Linked DNA regions of Callithrix jacchus. The protein of the gene in region 1 purifies or fractionates together with the protein of each later gene. This does not show direct contact. Links are inferred from orthologs where the notes say so. Each region holds a gene or a part of one and is shown in the gene's direction. Other genes may lie near its edges.

Region 1 (7,235 bases):
CATAATTTGAAAGCAAAATCTTGACTTAATCTGAATTAATTTAATAACAAAACCTGACTTAACCTGACATGAGGTTATATCTTTTTTATTCCATTTAGTGCAAATATTCATTCATGTATTTTTTTAAAATTTTTTATTGCATTTTAGGTTTTGGGGTACATGTGCAGAACATGCAAGACAGTTGCATAGGTACACACATGGCAGTGTGTTTTGCTTCCTTTCTCCCCTTTACCCACATTTGGCATTTCTCCCCAGGCTCTCTCTCCCCAGCTCCTCCCTGCCCCCCGCCTCTGGCTCTCCCCTTTCCCCCCCAATAGACCCCAGTGTTTAGTACTCCCCTCCCTGTGTCCATGTGTTCTCATTTTTCATCACCCGCCTATGAGTGAGAATATGCGGTGTTTCATTTTCTGTTCTTGTGTCAGTTTGCTGAGAGTGATGTTCTCCAGATTCATCCATGTCCCTACAAACGACACGAACTCATCCATGTATTTTGTGACAGAAATAGTACTATGTTTTGCTATTGGATGCTGCCACTCAGTCCCCTTGGGGTTAATACTATAGTATATTCCTTTCATTATCTTCTTAAAATAGGAAAAATTCTAAAATACATATTGCATCAAGCTTTTTGGATAAAGGATTGACAGCTTGAGTTATTCCTATTTTACATAAGAGAAAACTCAAGGTGAAATGATTTGCCCAGATCTTTGAACCTAGGACTATTTGCCTTCAAGTCAAATCCCAAGAATGGTCAACATATAGGTGGAATGTTTTAATTCAGATAAAGCTGTTAAAAATAGAATCTGCCTACACTATGTCAAAATGATCGGCTGTTGGAAAAAAGACACCACTAATTGTGATGTTATATATACTGATAGCAGTTCAAAAATGGCCAGCAGTTGTCTAATTTAACAGGTTGTAATCAATTGTTAAGAGGGTTATTAGGCTAATGATTTATATCTTGAAACTTGTTTTAAAGTCCCCCCAAATGAATATTTTTAAAACCATCATGTCTTTTAGGTTTGTGTATGATAAGTAATAGAATTACACGTGCTTAAAAATAGATTATCAAGCATTTACTTTAATGAAATACTGTCATTAAATAGAACTAATCAGTGACAGGAAATTTACCTTTTTGTTTTATAGGCATGATCACTGATCTTTTCATAGATAAATTTAAGTTCAAAGGCACCAATGTAAAAACTAAAGTACCTCTTCTCCTGGAAATTCTGGACAGTTATGACCAAAATGCATTGATTTCATTCTTTGACACAGCATGAAATACGAATAAGGTAAAGTCCCGAGGAAGTGTTCTGTTTAAATGAAAAATGTTAAAACAGAATTAGAAGTTAACTCTGTACATACTTTAATTTCAAACCCTTTTTTATATCTAAAAATATTTGAGATATAATGGCTTTTTAAAGTAATGCTTCTATTTCTTTTGACAAATGGAACTTTTTAAAACTAGAAGAGTATTTTTATTTTTAAAACACTAGTGGAATGATTTAAATAGGATTTTAATGAATTTTTGGCAAGTGGCTATTTTAATTTTTAAATTGAGAACTAATATGTGGAAAATGAAAATATATTCAAATGTATTATAAGGTATAGAAACACATAAATGTATAAACTGCTTTGTAGGTTTCAGAATGTATTTTTATATATTACCTTATTTGATCTTCACAACTGTTGCATAAGTTTGTCAAATCATATAAGAAAACTGATTCTCACTGAAATCTTGTGATTAAGAGGACATGCTAGTATTTTATATAGCTGGACAAGAACCCAAATCCTGGTACTTCCTTTGTGCTGTCCTGGTTACTATGTATGGTGTCAGCTAGTGGAAAAATCTACCAATTATTTTTTCTAGGAGATAGGATTAATTTGCAACTGATTTCCCTTTTGCTTAGGAATGTTTTAGGACTCCGCTGCAGTTTGTGAAATGCTCGACTTGGCTCAGTGCTATAAATTATAGCCAGGGAAATGAGAGCTTACACAGAGTGGAGGGATCTTAACTAGACATGCTGTAACTATACAAACGTGCTACAGGGGAAGAGTGTAGAAATAGTGATGCCATCTTAGATTTTCCTATACTAGTATCTTCTAGATCTCTTTTTATCATATATGACATTAAGGCTACAGAAGTTTTGTACATTAATCTTAATTCATATTTATTAATTTCAAGGGAATACTGTATTGAAAGGTTTTAAACTAGCAAAAAGATAATGTAAAATATGCTTTATGTTTCGAGAAGAGCTGGCTCACAAATTTTGTAGAAAACAGTGCTTCTTAATGATATGCTATTATACTTATTAGTTACGTGCAAGCTTTTTTTTTTTTTTGAGACGGAGTTTCGCTCTTGTTACCCAGGCTGGGGTGCAATGACGCGATCTCGGCTCACCTCCGCCTCCTGGGTTCAGGCAATTCTCCTGCCTCAACCTCCTGAGTAGCTGGGATTACAGGCACGCGCCACCATGCCCAGCTAATTTTTTGTATTTTTAGTAGAGACGGGGTTTCACCATATTGACCAGGATGGTCTTGATCTCTTGACCTCGTGATCCACCCGCCTCGGTCTCCCAAACTGCTGGGATTACAGGCGTGAGCCACCGCGCCCGGACTAGCTTTTTATATAAATATAAAAATTTGTTAAAGGCACATATACTTAAGACTTGAGTTTTATTTTAACAAGGTCATATTGTTTTTGCTATATTTAGAGAAACTTTACTTCTGAAAGGAACATAATTATATCTAGGTCACTAGAATTTCATTGTTTTTTGTTTGCTGCCACAGCTTGGGGAAAATAGATAAAAATTAATGACTATTTGAATATTTTGTAATGTATTGCTATTTATTATAGATGTAGATATTATTATGTAGTTCAAGGTAGCATCTTAAATTGCATCTTCATTAGGAAAAAAAAAAACAAAAACACAATTTCTGGTTACTGTGAATAAACACCTAAATGTTAAGATGACATTATAGTCTGCTAATTGAGTACTGTATTACTATGTGAGCCCCGTGTTAAATGATTTATGGGCATTATTTAATTCTAACAACCATGACTGTAGATATTATTCCCTATTAACAGATTAAAAAAACAGAGATTTGGAGATATTGAAAAACGTGGCCCAGATTTTAAACCTTGGGAAAAAGTCAGTTAAGCTAACTAGAGATCCCAGAGCTAAAACCTGGGGCAGCCCAAATCATAGTCGCTAAAGTTTAATTCCGTTTAATTCCCTAAAAGGCTTAGGGTCAGCCTCTGGACCGCCTTGCCCTAGGTGGATCAGTTTAAAGTAATCAGAAGCTTGGGCCCTGAGCCCCACTCCCGCACAGGCGTTCTTCCTCCCGCCTCAGCCCTAGGTGGTTTCTCTTTCCTGCCCCTCCCCTGCTCTGTTACCTTTGTGCTTCCTTCACTTGCCTGCGACCCTGTCGCCTCGAATGACGTCAAGGCCGGGGCGCTTTCATTGGTCCATTTCAATAGTCGCGGGATACTTGAACTGCAAGAACAGCCGCCGCTCCGGCGGGCTGCTATCTGTATCTCCGGGCGTCTTTGGCCCGCCACGCCCGGCAGTTCCTGCCTGCACCTTTCACAACCTCCTCGGCCCTGCGTGGTCTCGAGCTGGGTGAGTGGGCGGGCAGGTAGGCTGGCCTGGGCTGTAAGCGGCGCCTACGACTGTTCTTTGGCCGGGTCGGTGCGACCGGTCTGCTGGGCGGAGTGCACGCTGCTTGGCGCCGCAAGCTGATCCCGCCGTCGGCCCCCGGGAACAGTGATGTTGGGCAACTCCGCGCCGGAGCCTGCAGCCCGCGAGGCGGGCTCGGCGCTGCTAGCATTGCAGCAGACGGCGCTCCAAGAGGACCAGGAGAACATCAACCCGGAAAAGGCAGCGCCTATCCAGCCACCGCGGACCCGGGCCGCGCTGGCGGTACTGAAGGCCGGGAACCCCCGGGGTGCATCGCAGCAGCAGAGGCCGAAGACGCGACGGGTAAAAGGATGCGGGTTATCTGCAGGAGGGTGGGTCGAGCAGGGTTTGGCATTGGCTTAGCAGGCAGAGGAGAGTGGCGAGAAGGCATCTCCTAGGCTTTTGGAAGGGGGCCAGGATCTGGTGTCCACTTGGTGTTGGTGTCTGGGATGCCACAATAGGGATTCTTAACATCACGATCCCGCCAACACTGTGTGTATGCTGCCTTTTCTGCTCTCTATAAGGGGCATCTGCTTTACATAATAGGGTCAAACCCAAGCTTTATAACGTGTAAGTCTGCTCAGCTCCTCGCCTTTCTCTCCACTTTTAAACCCCAGGCCCTGCTTTAGGACTTTGCCCCTCTCCCATCTCATGCTGAAGAGATGACCTCTACTTTAGAAAACGGTGTACGAAATACTTTGCTTTTGGCAAATTCCGCCATTTTAGCTGGATTTGCTCTGTTGCTCCACCCTCGGGCGACAGTGGTGAACCAACAACACTTTTTGCCATGTCTTTCCTAAACTTGTCATGTATTGGCCTGCCACCCGACCCTTCTTGTGGCCTTGATTACTTTTGCATAATTCCACCTAGTGTTAACTGTTAGCCTTTGTGGGAATGCCTGTGACAAATGGGAACATCTATTCTCTTTTTGAATACTCAAACTATTCTTTGTCCCAGAAAGTTTAATTCCTGGTAGAGTATTTAGGAGAAAAAGCAAAGCCGACATTCACAAGAGAAAGAATGCAAAACTCAAGTAGGCTCAAAGCCAGTTATTAATTTTTTTTTTTTAGGTTGCACCCCTTAAGGATCTTCCTGTAAATGATGAGCATGTCACCGTTCCTTCTTGGAAAGCAAACAGTAAACAGCCTGCATTCACCATTCATGTGGATGAAGCAGAAGAGGAGACTCATAAGAAGCCAGCTGAATCCCAGAAGGCAGAGCGTGAAGATGTCATGGCTTTTAATTCAGCGGTTAGTTTACCTGGACCCAGAAAACCATTGGTACCTCTTGATTATCCAATGGATGGTAGTTTTGGTAAGTTTTAAGGAAATTGTTAGAGTGATGTCTCATGTAGTCATTTTGACTACAGTGAGTTAAGTTTAATGTAACAAGGCTTAAAAGGGTGTGACTTATCTTGGATCTCACAGCTAACACTTGACCTGGTGTCCTACAAAAAGATCCTAATCCAGTACTCTTTCAGGTTCACTGCCATCATATCAATCTAATTATAATTAGATCTTAAATGCTTATTTTAATCTGATCCCGTAAATGTACTTGGAGAATGGATTTGTTTTATTTAACTCACTTATATATCACTTAGAGTGTGCTATTTGAAGATGCAGTTTTAAATATTGTGATTACATAACATCTCTTGCAGTGTTACAATTTTGTTTATATAAAACCAGTCTGGTTTATCATCTGATACCAGAAAGTGACACTTTCCCTCCTGCAGGTCAACAGTTGTACCATGGCTGTTTGCCCTTACTCATGTATTAAAGTAGCTGCTGTAAACAGCTCTTCGAAGTTTGTATTATTTCTTTGCCCTAGGGATATTGAGTCACTGGACAGCTCACTAAATCAAATTTCATTTTAGTTTTAGTTGTATTGATTGTGGGGGAGGATGAGTGAGCAGAAAAAGTCCGTTGGAAATATTTTGTGTGTTTTTATTAAAATTTTGCAAAATAAGTTTAATTTCAAGGTGATCTTTGATGTGAAAAGAATAATGGATGATACTCTTTGCTTCAAAAGATAATTTACACTACAAAAAATACTTATTTATAGTGTTAATCTGTTTGTCCATAACAAACCTAATTTCTTTTTTTTTTTTTTTTTAAAGATGGGGTTTCACTATATTGGTCAGGCTGGTCTCGAACTCCTGACATCAGGTGATCCACCCGCCTCAGCCTCCCAAAGTGCTGGGATTACAGGCATGAGCCACCTTGCCCAGCAACAAACCTAATTTCTTAATAACACTTGTTAATGGAGACCATTTAACTGATTCCAGCTGTTGTTTAATTGGGCTTTGTATATGTCAGACTCTGGGATTTGCATTAGGGCAAATCTTAGATATTATCTCAAAACTTGGATTTTAAGTGCTCTATCCTGACAGAACCACCATGCCATCTGCTCCTTTCTGTAATGGAAGTTGAATGCTTTAAGATAATATATGATTCTCGTTTTCTTGTTAGGGGCCTACCAATGTATTTTTTTTTTCCTCATTAACTAATGTCATTCCAAAGATATATGTACAGAGATACTAAGACTAGGGTAAAATATTCTACATATTTCATCATGAGAAGCTTTTTAGTTTGATGAAATAAGTGCTTTGCTAATATAAGATTCCTTACAAGGGCAGTCATTTTTAGCTATTAAACTAAATAGACAATTAATTTAATCATATCTTTTGAATTGTCCCAGAGTCACCACATACTATGGACATGTCAATTGTATTAGAAGATGAAAAGCCAGTGAGTGTTAATGAAGTACCAGACTACCATGAGGATATTCACACGTACCTTAGGGAAATGGAGGTAAAAGTTCTCTGAATCCAGTTTGTATAATATATTTGTTAAATGTGGCTAAGTGAAATTAAGAAGATAGTTAAGTTTTTAAACTGCTAATGAATTATTTTAATGATACACTTAAGTTTATAGCATGTAGCCTCTCTTAATTCATGGTAAAATAATCTAATTGCAATTTTAACACTAAATAATTTTCTCAATAGGTTAAATGTAAACCTAAGGTGGGTTACATGAAGAAACAGCCAGACATCACTAACAGTATGAGAGCTATCCTCGTGGACTGGTTAGTTGAAGTAGGAGAAGAATATAAACTACAGAATGAGACCCTGCATTTGGCTGTGAACTACATTGATAGGTTCCTTTCTTCCATGTCCGTGCTGAGAGGAAAGCTTCAGCTTGTGGGCACTGCTGCTATGCTGTTAGCCTCGTAAGTCTACCTAGGTTTGTTTGATTAAAAGTTATCACTACCTTTTGTTTAGGGAAGAAATTGATTTTTAATGGTGACCTTTTAATATTATACCAGGCAGAGAGTCAGTGACTACTTTAAGGGATGGCAGTGTGGTAGGGCTTGGAGTGGAATAGGATGAAACTGTGTTCTAATCTAGAACCCTAATTTTCCCCTATCTTGAATGAACACAGACTGTCTACATTATATATAGTATAGTAGATTACAAATTTTAAAACATTTTCCTTCCAATATTAAAGTACTTTCTGGCATATAAGCAGTGTCTCTTTCATTAAGAAGTAAAGGCCAAGC
Region 2 (6,928 bases), on another chromosome or scaffold:
AAATTGAGGAGCATCTGTACATTTATTTAAAAATATATCTTCTAGGAAGTTTCTTCCCCCAGGTTCTACCAGAAAGTAATTTCCTTGTGCATTTTTCCTAGAAGTTTATTCACATTTTTGCCATCATAGTAATTATTATATGAATTTTTTACGCTTATGTTATTACACTGCACCTAAAATTTACTTCTCATTGTGTGCTTATCATGTGCAAGGGACTCTGCTATGTGCTGGGCACTACGTGGTGAACAAAACAGACATGGTCTCTACACTGGCATCACAGAGAATATTTTATAATGGAGATAGGGAGACAAACACCACCTAAGCAAACATGCAATTGCAACGGTGGGAGGCAAGTGGAGTCTGTGGCAAGGGCATAATGGGGAAACTGAAGGACTTTCTCTAGAGAAGGTGATTAAGAAAGGCCTTTCAGAAGATGAAATCCTTAATCTGACACCTGAAGAATTCTATCGTGTGACTGTGTGTGTGCTCCTACCCACCAAACTGTGTGTGGCAATTCCAGGCTGGGCGCCTTGGCTAATGCCTGTAATTCTGTTACAAGAAAGGGGTCCTGATTCAGATCCCAAGAGAGGGTCCTTGGATCTCTCACAAGAAAGAATTCAGGGTGAGTCCGCAGTGCAAAGTGAAAGTAAGTTTATTTAAAAACTAAAGGAATAAAAGGATAGCTACTCCATAGACCCCTAAGGGTTGCTGGTTGCCCATTTTTATGGTTATTTCTTGATGATACATTAAAGAAGGGGGGGATTATTCATGCTTCTCCTTTTTAGACCATATAGGGAAACTTCCTGAAGTTGCCAAGCCATTTGTAAACTGTCATGGCACTGGTGGGAGTGCAGCAATAAGGACGACCAGAGGTCACTCTCATCGCCATCTTGGTTTTGGTGGGTTTTGGCTGGCTCCTTTACTGTAACCTGTTTTATCAGCAAGGTCTTTATGACCTGTATTTTGTGCTGACCTCCTATTTCATCCTTGAGTTAGAAGGCCTTAACCGTCTAGGAATGCAGCCCAATAGGTTTTAGCCTCATCTTACCCAGCTCCTGTTTGAGACGGAGTTGCTCTGGTTCACATGCCTATGACAATCCCAGCACTTTGGGAGGCCAAGGTGGGCGGATCACTTGGGGATGGGAGTTTGAGACCACCCTGACCAACGTGGCAAAACCCCGTCTCTGCTAAAAATACAAAAACTAGCTGGGCATGTTGGTAGGGGCCTGTAATCCCAGCTGCTCAGAAGGCTGAGGCAGGAGAAGGGCTTGAAGGCAGAGGTTGCAGTTAGCTGAGATTGTACCACTGCACTCCAGCCTGGGAAACAAAGTGAGACTGGCTCCAAAAAAAAAAAAATAGAAATTTCAAACACCCTCTTCCCACAATTATTGTATTAGGAAGTTAGGAGGTGGGGCGTTTGGGAGGTAATCAAGATGAGAGTGGGGCTCTCAGGATCCAGATTATAAATAGCCTTAGAGGGCCTGCTTCCTCACTTGTTCAAAAACCTGTCTGTGATCTGCCGTGTGGAAAAGGGCTCCCACAAAGCCCTCTCCTCGCTGGCTCCCAAACCTCCCACTTCCAGCATCTAGTCTGGGGGACTTCATCTATGCCACCAGTCTATGTCTCTTTAGTCACAGTCGCCCTGAACCCATTAGCATAAAATGAAATTAATATAAAAATGGCACGTGTTCATTGTGGAAAATGTGAAAAATACCAGAAAGATCACTTTCAATTCTGTCATCTAAAAACAACCACTACTTACATCTTGGCATAAGTTTCTTCCAGTAACTTTCTTTTCTATAAACGTGCTTTTTTTTCTGTTTGTTTTTGTTTTGATACATAGTTTAGCTCTTGTTGCCCAGGCTGGAGAGAAATGGCGCGATCTCAGCTCACCACTTCCGCCTCCCACGTTCAAGAGATTCTCCTGCCTCAGCCATCCGAGTAGCTGGGGTTACAAGTTTGAGCCACCATGCCCAGCTAATTTTGGATTTTTAATAGACACGGGTTTTCTCCATGTTGGTCATGCTGGTCCTGCACTCCCTACCTCAAGTGATCCACCCACATTGGCCTCCCAGAGTACTGGGATTACAGGTGTGAGCCACCACGCCCAGTCGAACATGTGTTTTTAAACTAGGATCAATATTAAGAAACCAAAAGTTTTTAAACATCATTTTTAATCCCCTTACCCAGGAATTATTTAGCACTGTTATTCTTGGCCACCGCAGAACATTATTTTATTTCCTCAAGCTTTCCATGGCTTGGGTCTGCCCCGGTTTTGAACAGTAGATTAGGCTACAGAAAGCATGCTGGGTCTCACGCCCATCTCTTTTTTCTTTACTTAAAGACCGGGTCTCGCTCTGTTGCCCAGGCCTGTCTGGAACTCCTGGGATCAAGCGACCCTCCGCTCGGCCTCCCGAGTGGCTGGGACCACTGGCGCTTGCCGCCACTACGCGTGGCTCCATTCCCCACACACTCGCCTGGGGCGTGCTAGGAGCCCCGGACTGGCCAGGCCGGAACCTCAGCAAGTGCAGGGGAGGCGGAACGGCTGCGCGGGACACAGCCACGCTGTGGCCGCCGGCGCTCCCCTCACCGATCAGACACCGCAGCCGCCCTCCCCTCACACCGCAGAGCCTTTCTGTTTTCTACTACTTTTCAAAGTGGACCGAGGCTTCTGGCTCCAGCCTGAGGGGATATAAGGCGCACGAAGAGCGCCGAAACCGAGCTAGACAGCTTCCGTTCAAAGCTTTGTGGCCCGCGCTTCCGGCCTCGACCGACTGCGTCATCACCAAACCCCGTGATACTTTACTCAACCCTCATGTCCTCCGCTCCAACCGTTCCGTGTCCTGGAACATTCCACGGTCCTGCGCACGGGCTCTACCGCCCTTAACGTCCCGACTCCGCCCTCCTCTGGCCACGCCCCTACCCGTCCAACGTGCCGTACCTATTCTCCAATTCTTCCAACTGCAACCTCGCAACAGGTCTCTAATTGGCTGATCCGGGAAGCCGAAACCGCGAGGTGGCGGCGACGATAGGCTGGTAGCCGGTTGACTTCCGCAGAAGGTGATTGGCCGGCGCTGCTGTCCAATCGGCGGCGGGCTGTCGGATTCAAATCGGGATCGTTGGGACTGCGGTCGTTAGTCTCTAGCGAGTCGTTGCGTTGAGCAGACGTGTGCGAGTTGTCTGCTGTTCCCGCTTCGTGCTCTCTCATTTCCATCAGCCCGCCGGCAGGATGGCCCACAAGCAGATCTACTACTCGGACAAGTACTTCGACGAGCACTACGAGTACCGGTGAGCGGCTTTCTCCGACCCCGAGCCGGCTCCCTTAGCCGGGGCCCCCCGCGGGCGGGGCGACCAAAGCCGAAGAGGGAGTGGGGGCCAGGGGCCTGGGGGCGGAGCCCGGAGCCGGAGGGCTAGGGATGGGGTTGGTGGTCGCTGCCTCCTGTTGCTCCCGGCAGTCCGCCGAAGTTGGGTGCGCGGCCGCACCCGGCCGGTTGGGCCTTTGTTAGGTGTACGCGGAGGGTGAGGGAAGAGCGCGCAGCGGGCGGCGTTTAGGAACCAGCGCAACTTGAGGGGCCCGGGGTCCTGGGCGACGCCGAGTGACCGTGCGGTCCTTCTCCTCTCGGCTGTGGCAGAAGAAATTAGACCGTTTAGTAACTGGTCTCAGTTCCAGCTCTTTGAACCAGACCCGGAAAACCCACCTAGAGCCGTCGTTTTCCGTTCGCAGCCATGTCGCACACCTCTCCCGCTTCGCTGCCTGGGTGATGGAACTTTTACTAGTTTCTGGTTTACAGTGGTAATTTTCATCTGTTAGCATAGAGGAACACACCTCATTTTCTTGTTTTTGGAGTGAGTGGTACTCACTAAAAACAAGAAAATGTTTTTTCATTTTTAGGGGAACCCCGAAAAATAATGAGCTTGATGGGGATTTGAAAATGTTTATTGGGTATGGTGATTTAGGCCATTATAGGTTAGCCGCAGACATACAATTGAGGACATTATTAAAGGAGTTTCATTTTAAGGCCGATTAAGAGCTTGAGTGGACTTTGGGCATTATTTTCTGCTAGTGTACACTGGCCAAATTTTTGGCTTCGAGGAACTTTTGCATTTGAGTCCTGAAGCGATGTACTAGAACGTAGTGGTTATAATCGATCCGTAAAATTAGACAAATTTTAAATGTTTCTGGGAGAAGGGGTTAGGGACATTTAAAATTTGTTGTCCTTATTGTATTCGGGACACTCATTTAGGGCGTGGCTTCAAAGACCAGTCAACCCCTTGTCCTACTAGGTAGTGACTAGAACGTTGTATTCTGGGATACTACCAGGATTTAGGGGAGGTAAAGCCCATGCCATCGTTGGCCAAATTTCGACCTTATTTTCTGTCTGCTGCCCTTGTAGGTTCGATTTCTACGAATGCTATTTAAGGAAGAAATAAAACAGCAGTGGGTGGCTTCTCTTTTTCTCCCCCTCCCTACAAGCATGGAAGTCTGTTTTCACATAAGGAATACTGAAGATTTCTATGGGTAGTAATAATTGCACCCTTTTGTATTCCTAACTAGAAAAATCTCATGTTTTTTCTGGCTGTAGGTAAATTTCAAGTAGATTGTCTTAACCTTGTAGTAATACTAAACTATACAGTTTTAATCATGTAATATGCTGGCCTAGTGTTCAATTATGTGATGTTAAGAGCCTTATTGAGGATCGTTAATAATGAACGCAATGTAAAACCATAACCTTACTAAAACCTGGAAAATTATTCTGAAACGCATCTAGTGCCAAGTGTTTAGGATAAGGATTTAAAAGTTGGTATGAGTTTCTTTTAGGGCATATTGAAAATCAAGCGATTTCTCAGACTTCTTTCTGATGGCAGTAAGTCCATATTTTAGTTTTAATATACTCAGCTGATTTGTTTGTGGAATGTATAGAAGCAAGTTTACATATCTGAAGTGATTTATTTTAATCCAATAAAAATTAGAGCTGGTATTAAATGACCAAGCCACTAACCTTTATGAAACAGGATAGTAATCTCCACAAATAAAGGGGAAACTAGTGATAATATAACACTAAGGCATGAATCTAGGGTGGTTTGTATTAATATATAATGGGGCAGCATGCAATGTATATTTCAAAGGATAGTATTTTTGCCAGTGTGCAGTTTTCTTTGATTTTTCTTGATTACAAAATTAATTTCCTAGTCCTTTTACATGAGGGTCTTATGTTTCTAAGGGCATGTAACAGTGGGTGCCCCCACCCCCACATCATGGAAGTCTGTTTTTACAGGCAAAGAACTGAGGATTTCTCTGGGAAGCTTTATAAATTTAGCACTGTTTTGCATGTCGACTGAAATAAACGTTAGATTTTTTGAAATAATTGTCCTTACGTGTAGTTAGTTTGCAAACTATCTCTATGGCAAAATACAGTTAGAATCCTCATATGGGCTGGATGCTACTTAAACATTTTTCCTTTAAAAAGAAACGCTGATGGAGGAGAGCATGTTTCTGTGTTTATGGAGAAAAGCGTGGTAATTTCTATCTAAATAACTTGTTGGTAGATTTACTTACTCTGTAAATCTGAAAGAAAAGGTACAAAAGCACTATATTTCTCTTTGAGAATAATCAATATAGAAGATAGAAATAAGATAACAGATTTATTTGTAGAGCTTTAAAAGTTAGATGTTAAAGCAGCATTTCAAGAATGTGGGTGATAACTGGTAAGAACTACTAAAAGTCACCATATAGTTCACTGGAATTGGTAAAAACTGTACAAATTATGGTAGTAACCTATGACTTGGTGGCTTTAAGGCAATCGAACAACATAATAGAATTTTTCTGAGGCCCACTTTGCCCTGCAAATAAATTGGTACTTAAATAACCAGCCACAGACTAAATTTAAGTTGATGATGGCTTGGTGCTTATAATGGGTTAGGCATTCAGTTTACTGTGTCTGAATGTGACCATATTGCACCTCATTCATTGCTAGCCAGCTGACTCAGACAGATATCTTAACACTGGTAAAAAATTTGGGCTCGTGGTTATAAAGTATAAAACAGTTAAAAACTGTTACTACTTCTGGAGATGGTCGATATGGGGCCGAGAATTGTGACTTTATTTATAAAGTCCTTTTTAATGATAATTGAGTAAAAATTCTTATTCAATTTGAAAAGATTCATTTGGCAAATCTTTGACAAAATGCTGTGGGATGCTATTAACAATGATTTGTTTTTGAGAATTTCATAAGGCTACAATTGTACATATTGATGGTTTAACTTTGAAGGTTATTCCATGCTTGCCTAAGAAACTGAACAATGTAAATTTTGGATATAAGTCAGTAAGTTAACTGGAAAACTGAGGTTGCAAACAATGTGTATGTGCAGTTAGTGGTTTTCTGTTTTTAATATTGTATAAAGCAACTTCTGGAGCATACAAGGACTAGTAGCTACTACAAAGCTATGTTGAGTAAGAGGAAACCCAAATTAACTGTAACAGACTTTTTCCTTACATAAAAATCTAATAATGTGGGGCAGGGATAACAGCTCTACAGCCAGGGACTAGGCTGGATCCTTACCTCGTTGCTTTACCATTCTCAATTTACAGTGGCTTCTATGGTCCTGGATTCCTGCTCTGGCTCCCTTATCATATTAATGTGCATTCAACAAGAAGGAAAAAGAGTTCAGCATGTTCTTTACCTTTGAGAACACTTTCCACATAAGTTAAATATTTTCTTACATCTTGTTGGCTTATGACTTGGCGGCTGGTAACCATATGCTCAGCTTATATTTTGAGGTTCTATTCCTGAAGATTAAGGAAACTAGTAAGCATTCTGTTAAGAGAAAATAATTAATCCTAAGGAAAATGCCTTCTGCTTTTGAATTGTGCACTCTTAGCTCCCTAATTTGAACACAGGCCATCACAAATTAGAATTATAGGTAGTAG
Region 3 (6,980 bases), on another chromosome or scaffold:
TTTCCTTATCTTTCAAAGGCCAACTGAAATCTTCCCATGCCTTCCCTACGTGTCAGGGTATGTGACGCCCCACTGTGATAGAGAACCCCACATTTCTAGTGGGTTGAGATGCAGTAAAAGTTTATTCCTTCTGCCCCACACAGGCAATGCCGAGGGCAGAGGGTGGTTCTCCTGGGGTCCGGAGCCTCCATCTGGCCAGCAGAGGGCGCAGAAGGACTGCGTGGGCGGCTGGGACGTGACAGCCTGGAAGTGGTGAACAGCCAGCGTTCCTGAAAACCTTCCCGGCCAAAGCGGGTCCGAGGCCCACTTGTGTGCGAGAGAGCTGGGAAATGTCTTTCCGTGTGCTCTGAGGAGAGTGCAAAGGCTAGTGGATGTCCTGCCTTTCCTCTGCTGCTCTCTCGGCTGGGGGCAAGAATGACAGGACGTGAACATACACACGAGGGCCCGGAACTCACGAGCCCCCCACAGAGGCCCCCCCATTTGCAGGAGCTGGGGCACTAGCACAGCACAGCCCACGCCTTTTGACCAGCACCCCTCCCCAGTTCTGCTCTCTGCAGCAACACAGAGTACAAATATTGTTCCTTTGGTTTCTTTTTTCCCTTTGGAGACATTTTAAATGACAAAAATAGAGCTTGATTGTTGCACCCAGACAGATGTTTGCTTCCGGGCCCTTTGGGTTGGAGGACTGGGCCCCCTCGCAGAGCCTGGAACTCCCAGCCCCCAGCTCCTGGGGTGCCTTCCTCCAGGTGTGTCCCTGGCTTGGGCTGGCGGGCGCAGTCCCCACTCCTGGGATGTGCAGTTTTAATAAGCTACTGGGTACCACCCTTGATTGAATTCAGAGTGACAGACTTAGAGCAGGTCACCTCTCGACTTCTAATGAGGCCAAGACGGGAGGAGTCCCCACAGCCCCGAGTTTGACTCTGTAATTAAGCTGGTAAAGTGGAAAAATAAAAGTAGGGAACCTAAGTGGAGAGCAAACCAGAAAGCCAGGCAGCCGGAGCTTCCGAGCCCGCTTTCTCCCAGCTGTGCGGCCTCGGGGCCCACGACGTCTCTGCTACTTTTGCTGCTTTTCTATAACACAGGGTGAGGCAGCTACACCCTCCGAGGGGTGTCACTAGGGCCAATGGGTCCGGATGTTTGGAGTGTGGGTGTCTGAGGGCCACTAGGTCACTACCCACTCTGGCCCTTTGCTCCTAGTCTCTGGGGAGGCCCTGGCACAGGGCAGGGGTGACTAGACCCTGCCTCTTTCTGCTCCCAGACCAGTTGATATGAGTCCTGCTTGAGGGGTTCGCAGGGCCTCTGGAGCCTTCTTCAGCTTCTCTTTGTTTTCCTAAGATAAAAATTGTCACATCTGTGCTTGTTGTGGGAAACTTGAAAAATAGTGCACAGAGAAGAATATGAAATCGACATAAATCCCTGCATGTGGTTCATCAAGGGCCCTGGCCCCTCTCCTGGGTCAACGCCCTGTCCGGGACAGCTCTCCCCTCACTTTAGATCTCACTTCCCCAGACCCAGAAGACCCACCCTGCTCCCCCAGTGGCATCTGCACGCTGTCACGGCATTTCACAGGGGCTGGGGTGTCTTGGGACTCAGAGGCAGGCTGCTGGGGGTTCAGGGGACCTTGCCGTCCCTCCCTCCCAGATGTCTCTGGCTGCTCACAGGTTCACTGGAGACAGGGGCTCAGAGCTCCCAGACTGCTGGACCCTCCAACAGGTGTCTGACAGTCCCCCTCCCGACCTGGGTGGCTCCCAGTTTAAGGAGGGGGCTCCCTGCCTCATGGTAAGTGAGGCAAAGCGGAGACAGCGGGAAAGAATGGTCTCTCTGGGTCTGGTCTGGCTGGGGTGAAGCAGTGTGTGTGTGTGTGTGTGTGTGTGTTTGTGTGTGTGTGTGCGCGCGCGCTTGCACGACCAAGGTCTGTACCAGGAAGGGCTGCAGGTGGGGGAGGGGCATGGTCCTTCTCAGCCCCTTCCCCTATGACCTCAGGCAGATCTTTCACTTTTACCCAGTACAGCAGCCTCCAAGCAGCCTGAACAGGCCGATCCCGGGGCTGGGGTGGCCTGGCCCAAGGCTGAGGGGGGCCGGGACCCCCGACAGTGACATGATGGGCGCAGCCCAGTTTGGGCTAAGCCTGTGTTCCATCTACTGGGCAGGGTAGGCCTCCGCAGATGGCGGCTTCTCTCTCCAGCCCCAGGGGGCTGCTGGGCGCCTCTCCAAGTGTCCTACACATGGTCCCTCCGGGAAAGAGTGGAGCTGACCCCGTCCCCCCTTCCCGACTCGAGGGCCTTCGGGCCGGCAGGTGTGTGAGGGCTCCAGGTGCGCGGACCCTTCGAAGGGACACAACCCAGCAGCCGCAGCAGGCCGCGCGGGGGCAGCCGAAGACCCCGTCCGGCGCAGGCCGGGGCCGAGCTGGCAGCGGCGGGTCCAAGTCCCGTCAGCCGGCGCAGGAGGCCCAGGGGCGAGCACGGGACGGGGCTGGGCGCCGGGGTCCGGACCGGGCCGGGGTCGCGCGGGGCCTGGCCGGACACCGGACCCGCCGGGAGCCGGCCCCTGCCGCGCTGGACCGAGGCCCCCGCCTGCAGACAAAGGAGCCGGCGGGGGGCGGGAGCCGGGGGGGGGGGGGCAGCGGGGGGGATGGGGCGAGGGGGCGGGGCGTCGCGGTGTCACGTTACCGCCCGCAGCGCCCTTTAACTCCCGCCCCCGCCCCGCTCACCGCCCCCTTCCCCTGCTACAGCGCGCTCACCCCGCGGCCGCCAATCAGCCGCGCGCCCCGGCCGCGCGCCCCGCCTCGCCCTCGGTGGGTGTGCTCGCGGCCAATGGGCGGCGCGCGGGGGCGGGGCCGCGAAGGGGCGGGGCGGCGGGGCGGGGGCCAATCGCCGCGGTGTTGTTGAAACTGAAAATACTACATTATGCTAATCGCGGCCGGGCCCGCGCGCACGGGGGTGGGGCCCGCGCGTATAAAGCGGGCGCAGGCGGGCTGGGCGTTCCACAGGCCAAGTGCGCTGTGCTCGAGGGGTGCCAGCCAGGCCCGAGCAGCGAGCGAGCCAGCAGGCATCGAGGGGGCGCGGTTGCCGGCCCGACCAGACCAGCGAATTCCACGCAGGAGAGTGTTCGACCCGACCGCCAGGTAGCCGCCGCGCCCGCCCTTCCGCCGCGTCCCCCGCACACGCGGCGTCGGGCTGCGCGGGGTCTCCCTCGCGCCCGGCCTCCGCCCTCTCCTCCTGTCCTCTTCCCCCTCTTCTCGCTGTCCTCTCCTCTCCCGCTGCCCGCGATCGCGCAGTCCCGGGCCATGTCCGACGCGTCCCTCCGCAGCACATCCGTGATGGAGCGTCTTGTCGCCCGTGGGACCTTCCCAGTACTTGTGCGCACCAGCGCCTGCCGCAGCCTCTTCGGCCCGGTGGACCACGAGGAGCTGAGCCGCGAGCTGCAGGCCCGCCTGGCCGAGCTGAACGCCGAGGACCAGAATCGCTGGGACTACGACTTCCAGCAGGACATGCCGCTGCGGGGCCCCGGACGCCTGCAGTGGACCGAAGTGGACAGCGAGTCGGTGCCCGCGTTCTACCGCGAGACGGTGCAGGTGGGGCGCTGCCGCCTGCTGCTGGCGCCGCGGCCCGTCGCGGTCGCGGTGGCTGTCAGCCCGCCCCTCGAGCCGGACGCTGAGTCCCTCGACGGCCTCGAGGAGGCGCCGGAGCAGCTGCCTAATGTCCCGGTCCCGGCCCCGGCGTCCACCCCGCCCCCAGCCCCAGTCCTGGCTCCGGCCCCGGTCGCGGTTCCGGACGTGGCTCCGGTCGTGGCTCCGGGTCTGATCCCGGCTCAGATCCCGGCTCCGGTCCCGGCTCCAGTCGTGGCTCCGGGTCTGATCGCAGGTCCGGTCGCGGCCCCGGTCGTGGCCCCGGTCTTGGCCCCGGTCGTGGCCCCGGCTCCGGTTCTGGCTCCGGTTCTGGCTCCGGCCCCGGCTCCGGTCGCGGCCCCAGCCCCGGCCCCGGCCCCGGTCCCAGCTCCGGTCCCGGTTCCGGGCCCGGCCTTGGCTCCGGCCCCCGCCCCGGGCCCGGCCCCGGACGCGGCTCCTCAAGAGAGTGCCGAGCAGGGCGCGAACCAGGGGCAGCGCGGCCAGGAGCCTCTCGCTGACCAGCTGCACTCGGGGATTTCGGGACGTCCAGCGGCCGGCACCGCTGCTGCCAGCGCCAACGGCGCGGCGATCAAGAAGCTGTCCGGGCCTCTGATCTCCGGTGAGCCCCGCACGGCCCCGCCCCGGCCCGGCCCGGCCCCGCTTTGTCCCGCCGGCCGGTCTCCCCAGCCCTCGGGGGGCCTCGCTGGGTTCCCGCCTCCTCCCGTGGCATTAAAGGGCCCGCAGCGCTCAGGGCGCGGCTGCGCCCTCACCCCCCTCCCTGCCCCGTGGTCGTGCCCTCGAGCGGCTTGCGCGGGCGGGGTGGGAGGAGGAGCCCCGGCGGCGACCCCCCGGGAGCGCAGCCTTCACCCCCGGCCACAGGAGACCCTCCCCGGGCGCCGCCGGGCGTCGTGATCGCGGCGCGGAGGGGGTTAAGCGCAGCGGCGGCCCCGGGGGGCTTGGCCGCGGGACAAGGGGAAATGCTTACACAGCACATTGCGCGGCGACGTAAACAAAGCTGACCCGCCGCAGACCTCGGCGCGGGCAGGGACGGCGCCCCCACCCCGGCCAGCCCGCGCCCCAAGCCCTCTCCCGGCCCCCTCTTGGGTCTCTCGGCCGGCCCCGCCCTGACCGGCCGTGCGCGCTGTCGCCCGCAGATTTCTTCGCCAAGCGCAAGAGATCTGCGCCTGAGAAGGCGTCGGGAGAGGTCCCCCCGCCGTGTCCCGCTCCCAGCGGCGCCCCCGGCGTGGGCTCGGTGGAGCAGACCCCGCGCAAGAGGCTGCGGTGAGCCAAGTGAGTACGGCGCACCTGGGGGGCGCGGGGGGCCTTCCTGCGGGGTGCTCTCGGACTTTGCTGACCTCCCCTCTCTCCCCCGCTCCGCAGTTTAGAGCCCAAAGAGCCCCGAGGGAACCTGCCGGGGCAGCGGACGTTGGAAGGGCGCTGGGGCCTCGGCTGGGACCGTTCATGTAGCAGCAACCGGCGGCGGCTGCCGCAGAGCAGCGTTCGGTGTTTAAATTCTGAAAACTGTGCAATGTATTGATTACGTCTTTTTATATCTAAATGTATTCTGCACGAGAAGGTACACTGGTCCCAAGGTGTAAAGCTTTAAGAGTCATTTATATAAAATGTTTAATCTCTGCTGAAACTCAGTGCAAAAAAAAAGAAAAAAGTAAAAAAAAAGTAAAAAATAAAAAAAACCATGTATATTTGTACAAAAAGTTTTTAAAGTTATACTAACTTATATTTTCTATTTATGTCCAGGCGTGGACCGCTCTGCCACGCACTAGCTCGGTTATTGGTTATGCCAAAGGCACCTCCACCTCCCACATCGTCCCGTTATTGACAAGTGTATAACTTTATTCTCATAGCGGACTCTGGGGAAAGGGGTCACTCACAAGCTGTAGCTGCCATCACGCCCACCTAGCTTGCATTCTCTTCGCGCTTTCGCTCTCTCTTACTATTACTGTGTTTATCTTAAACTTGAAGACAAATCTGTTAAAATGGTTCCTGAGCCGACTGTACCACTGCCCCGGCCCCTCGTCCGCCGGGTTCTAAATAAAGAGGCCGAAAGATGCTGCAACTCCAGTCTGTTTGTGCTTGTGCCTGCCTCCTGCACCCCCAAAGCTGGAGAGCTAGAACGCAGGAGAGAGCAGGCCAAAGTGGCCATCCCCAGTCCAAAAGGGGAAGCCTCTCTCCCGGCTGGGCCTGGCCCACTCCCGCCTGCTCCAGTCACCTTATCTCAGGAGGGGCAGCTGGCCGGCACTGCACCCCACATTTATCACCTTCCACCTTCGGGGCTGCAGAAAGACAAGTGTGGGCTTCACGTAGCCCCAGCAGGCAGGCAGCACAGCCCCTGACTTGCTGCCCAGACCCAGGCTTGTTTCAAGGAAACCATGGGCAACCCCTCTGCCCCCGATGATGGGCTCAGGCCCCTGCTAGTTCGAGGATGCACAGGGGTGTGGGGTGGGGAGCAGGGCTCCGCCAATGCACGTCGTCCCTCCAGACTTCTTCAGGCCTCGCACCAGGGTCTCCCTAGGTCTTGCCACAAGACAGCCAGAGTGTTCAAGGTCTATTCACACCTGCAGTGGAGGAGGGATGGCCTCGAAGCCTCTGAGGGGAGGGAGAAGTGGGAGGACAAGGGGGGCACCCTGGAACCAGGAGGGCTTGGGGATAGGTGGCTTCTGATGCCCAGGCTTTGGTGGAAGAAGTGGAGGCTGTGTGCACCCCCTGCACCCACACTGTCTGCCCCAGCAGCCCACTAGTTTCAAAGCCCTCTCTTAGTAAGAGACTTTTTTATTTTAATAGCTGACCTATAAACCTCTGAAAATTATGGCTTACAATGGAAAGGGTGACGTAAAACAGCAAAAACAGAACGGCTAGCAGTATTTTTGCTGGTGCCTTGGCCCAGGGGAAGAGAACTGGTGGACTCTTATGGAGCCCTACGTGACAGTTGCTGACTCCCCCCAACCCCCTCCCCTCTGTGTCAGGGACAAAGAGGGGCCGGACTCGAGATGCTGGAGACGTATTTAGACATAGAATTAACTGAGCCTCCCCGAGCTGCCTGGAAGGGCTGGGCGAGGAGGGCAATGGGGCTGGCCTTGAGGCCCAGCTGGGGCCAGACTCTGGGAAATGCCCCCGGGCCCCGAGAGTGGCAGGCCCTGCTGTTTCCGCTCGGCAACAGGGACTTTCAGCTGATAACGGGACCAGGCCACGCAGACCTGACTTCAGCCTTCAGACCTCTCCTCTCAGGAAGAAACCACCGCTTTCACCTGTATGAGCAGGACAAAGCCCTTTCCCTTCTGAGATAAAGGAGGGTAGCAGTGTCTTCTGCCCTGGGCTGGGAGGGGGCTGGACTGGGTGCCTGGCAGGCAGTTTG

The links. Proteins that work in one complex are often made in the same cells at the same time.
Region 2: the proteins of CCNA2 (region 1) and CKS2 purify together in Homo sapiens (affinity purification with mass spectrometry; 3 studies listed by BioGRID and IntAct, counting the BioPlex papers as one, with this or other methods). This does not show direct contact. The link is inferred for Callithrix jacchus from reciprocal best matches to the Homo sapiens genes CCNA2 and CKS2.
Region 3: the proteins of CCNA2 (region 1) and CDKN1C purify together in Homo sapiens (affinity purification with mass spectrometry; 3 studies listed by BioGRID and IntAct, counting the BioPlex papers as one, with this or other methods). This does not show direct contact. The link is inferred for Callithrix jacchus from reciprocal best matches to the Homo sapiens genes CCNA2 and CDKN1C.

Annotation. Positions count from the first base shown.
Region 1 is NC_133504.1:75,861,309-75,868,543, forward strand, and holds the start of CCNA2 (cyclin-A2), read left to right. Parts: upstream 1-3,516; 5' UTR 3,517-3,767; coding exon 3,768-3,980; intron 3,981-4,747; coding exon 4,748-4,991; intron 4,992-6,374; coding exon 6,375-6,487; intron 6,488-6,681; coding exon 6,682-6,905; intron 6,906-7,235. Other genes in the region: BBSome complex member BBS7, read left to right, coding at 1,144-1,277. UniProt on the Homo sapiens protein: Cyclin which controls both the G1/S and the G2/M transition phases of the cell cycle. Functions through the formation of specific serine/threonine protein kinase holoenzyme complexes with the cyclin-dependent protein kinases CDK1 or CDK2.
Region 2 is NC_133502.1:73,156,549-73,163,476, forward strand, and holds the start of CKS2 (cyclin-dependent kinases regulatory subunit 2), read left to right. Parts: upstream 1-3,133; 5' UTR 3,134-3,229; coding exon 3,230-3,288; intron 3,289-6,928. UniProt on the Homo sapiens protein: Binds to the catalytic subunit of the cyclin dependent kinases and is essential for their biological function.
Region 3 is NC_133511.1:128,971,981-128,978,960, forward strand, and holds CDKN1C (cyclin-dependent kinase inhibitor 1C), read left to right. Parts: upstream 1-3,185; 5' UTR 3,186-3,286; coding exon 3,287-4,226; intron 4,227-4,761; coding exon 4,762-4,892; 3' UTR 4,893-4,897; intron 4,898-4,987; 3' UTR 4,988-5,684; downstream 5,685-6,980. Other genes in the region: uncharacterized protein LOC118145682, read left to right, coding at 1,642-1,779, 2,151-2,888. UniProt on the Homo sapiens protein: Potent tight-binding inhibitor of several G1 cyclin/CDK complexes (cyclin E-CDK2, cyclin D2-CDK4, and cyclin A-CDK2) and, to lesser extent, of the mitotic cyclin B-CDC2. Negative regulator of cell proliferation.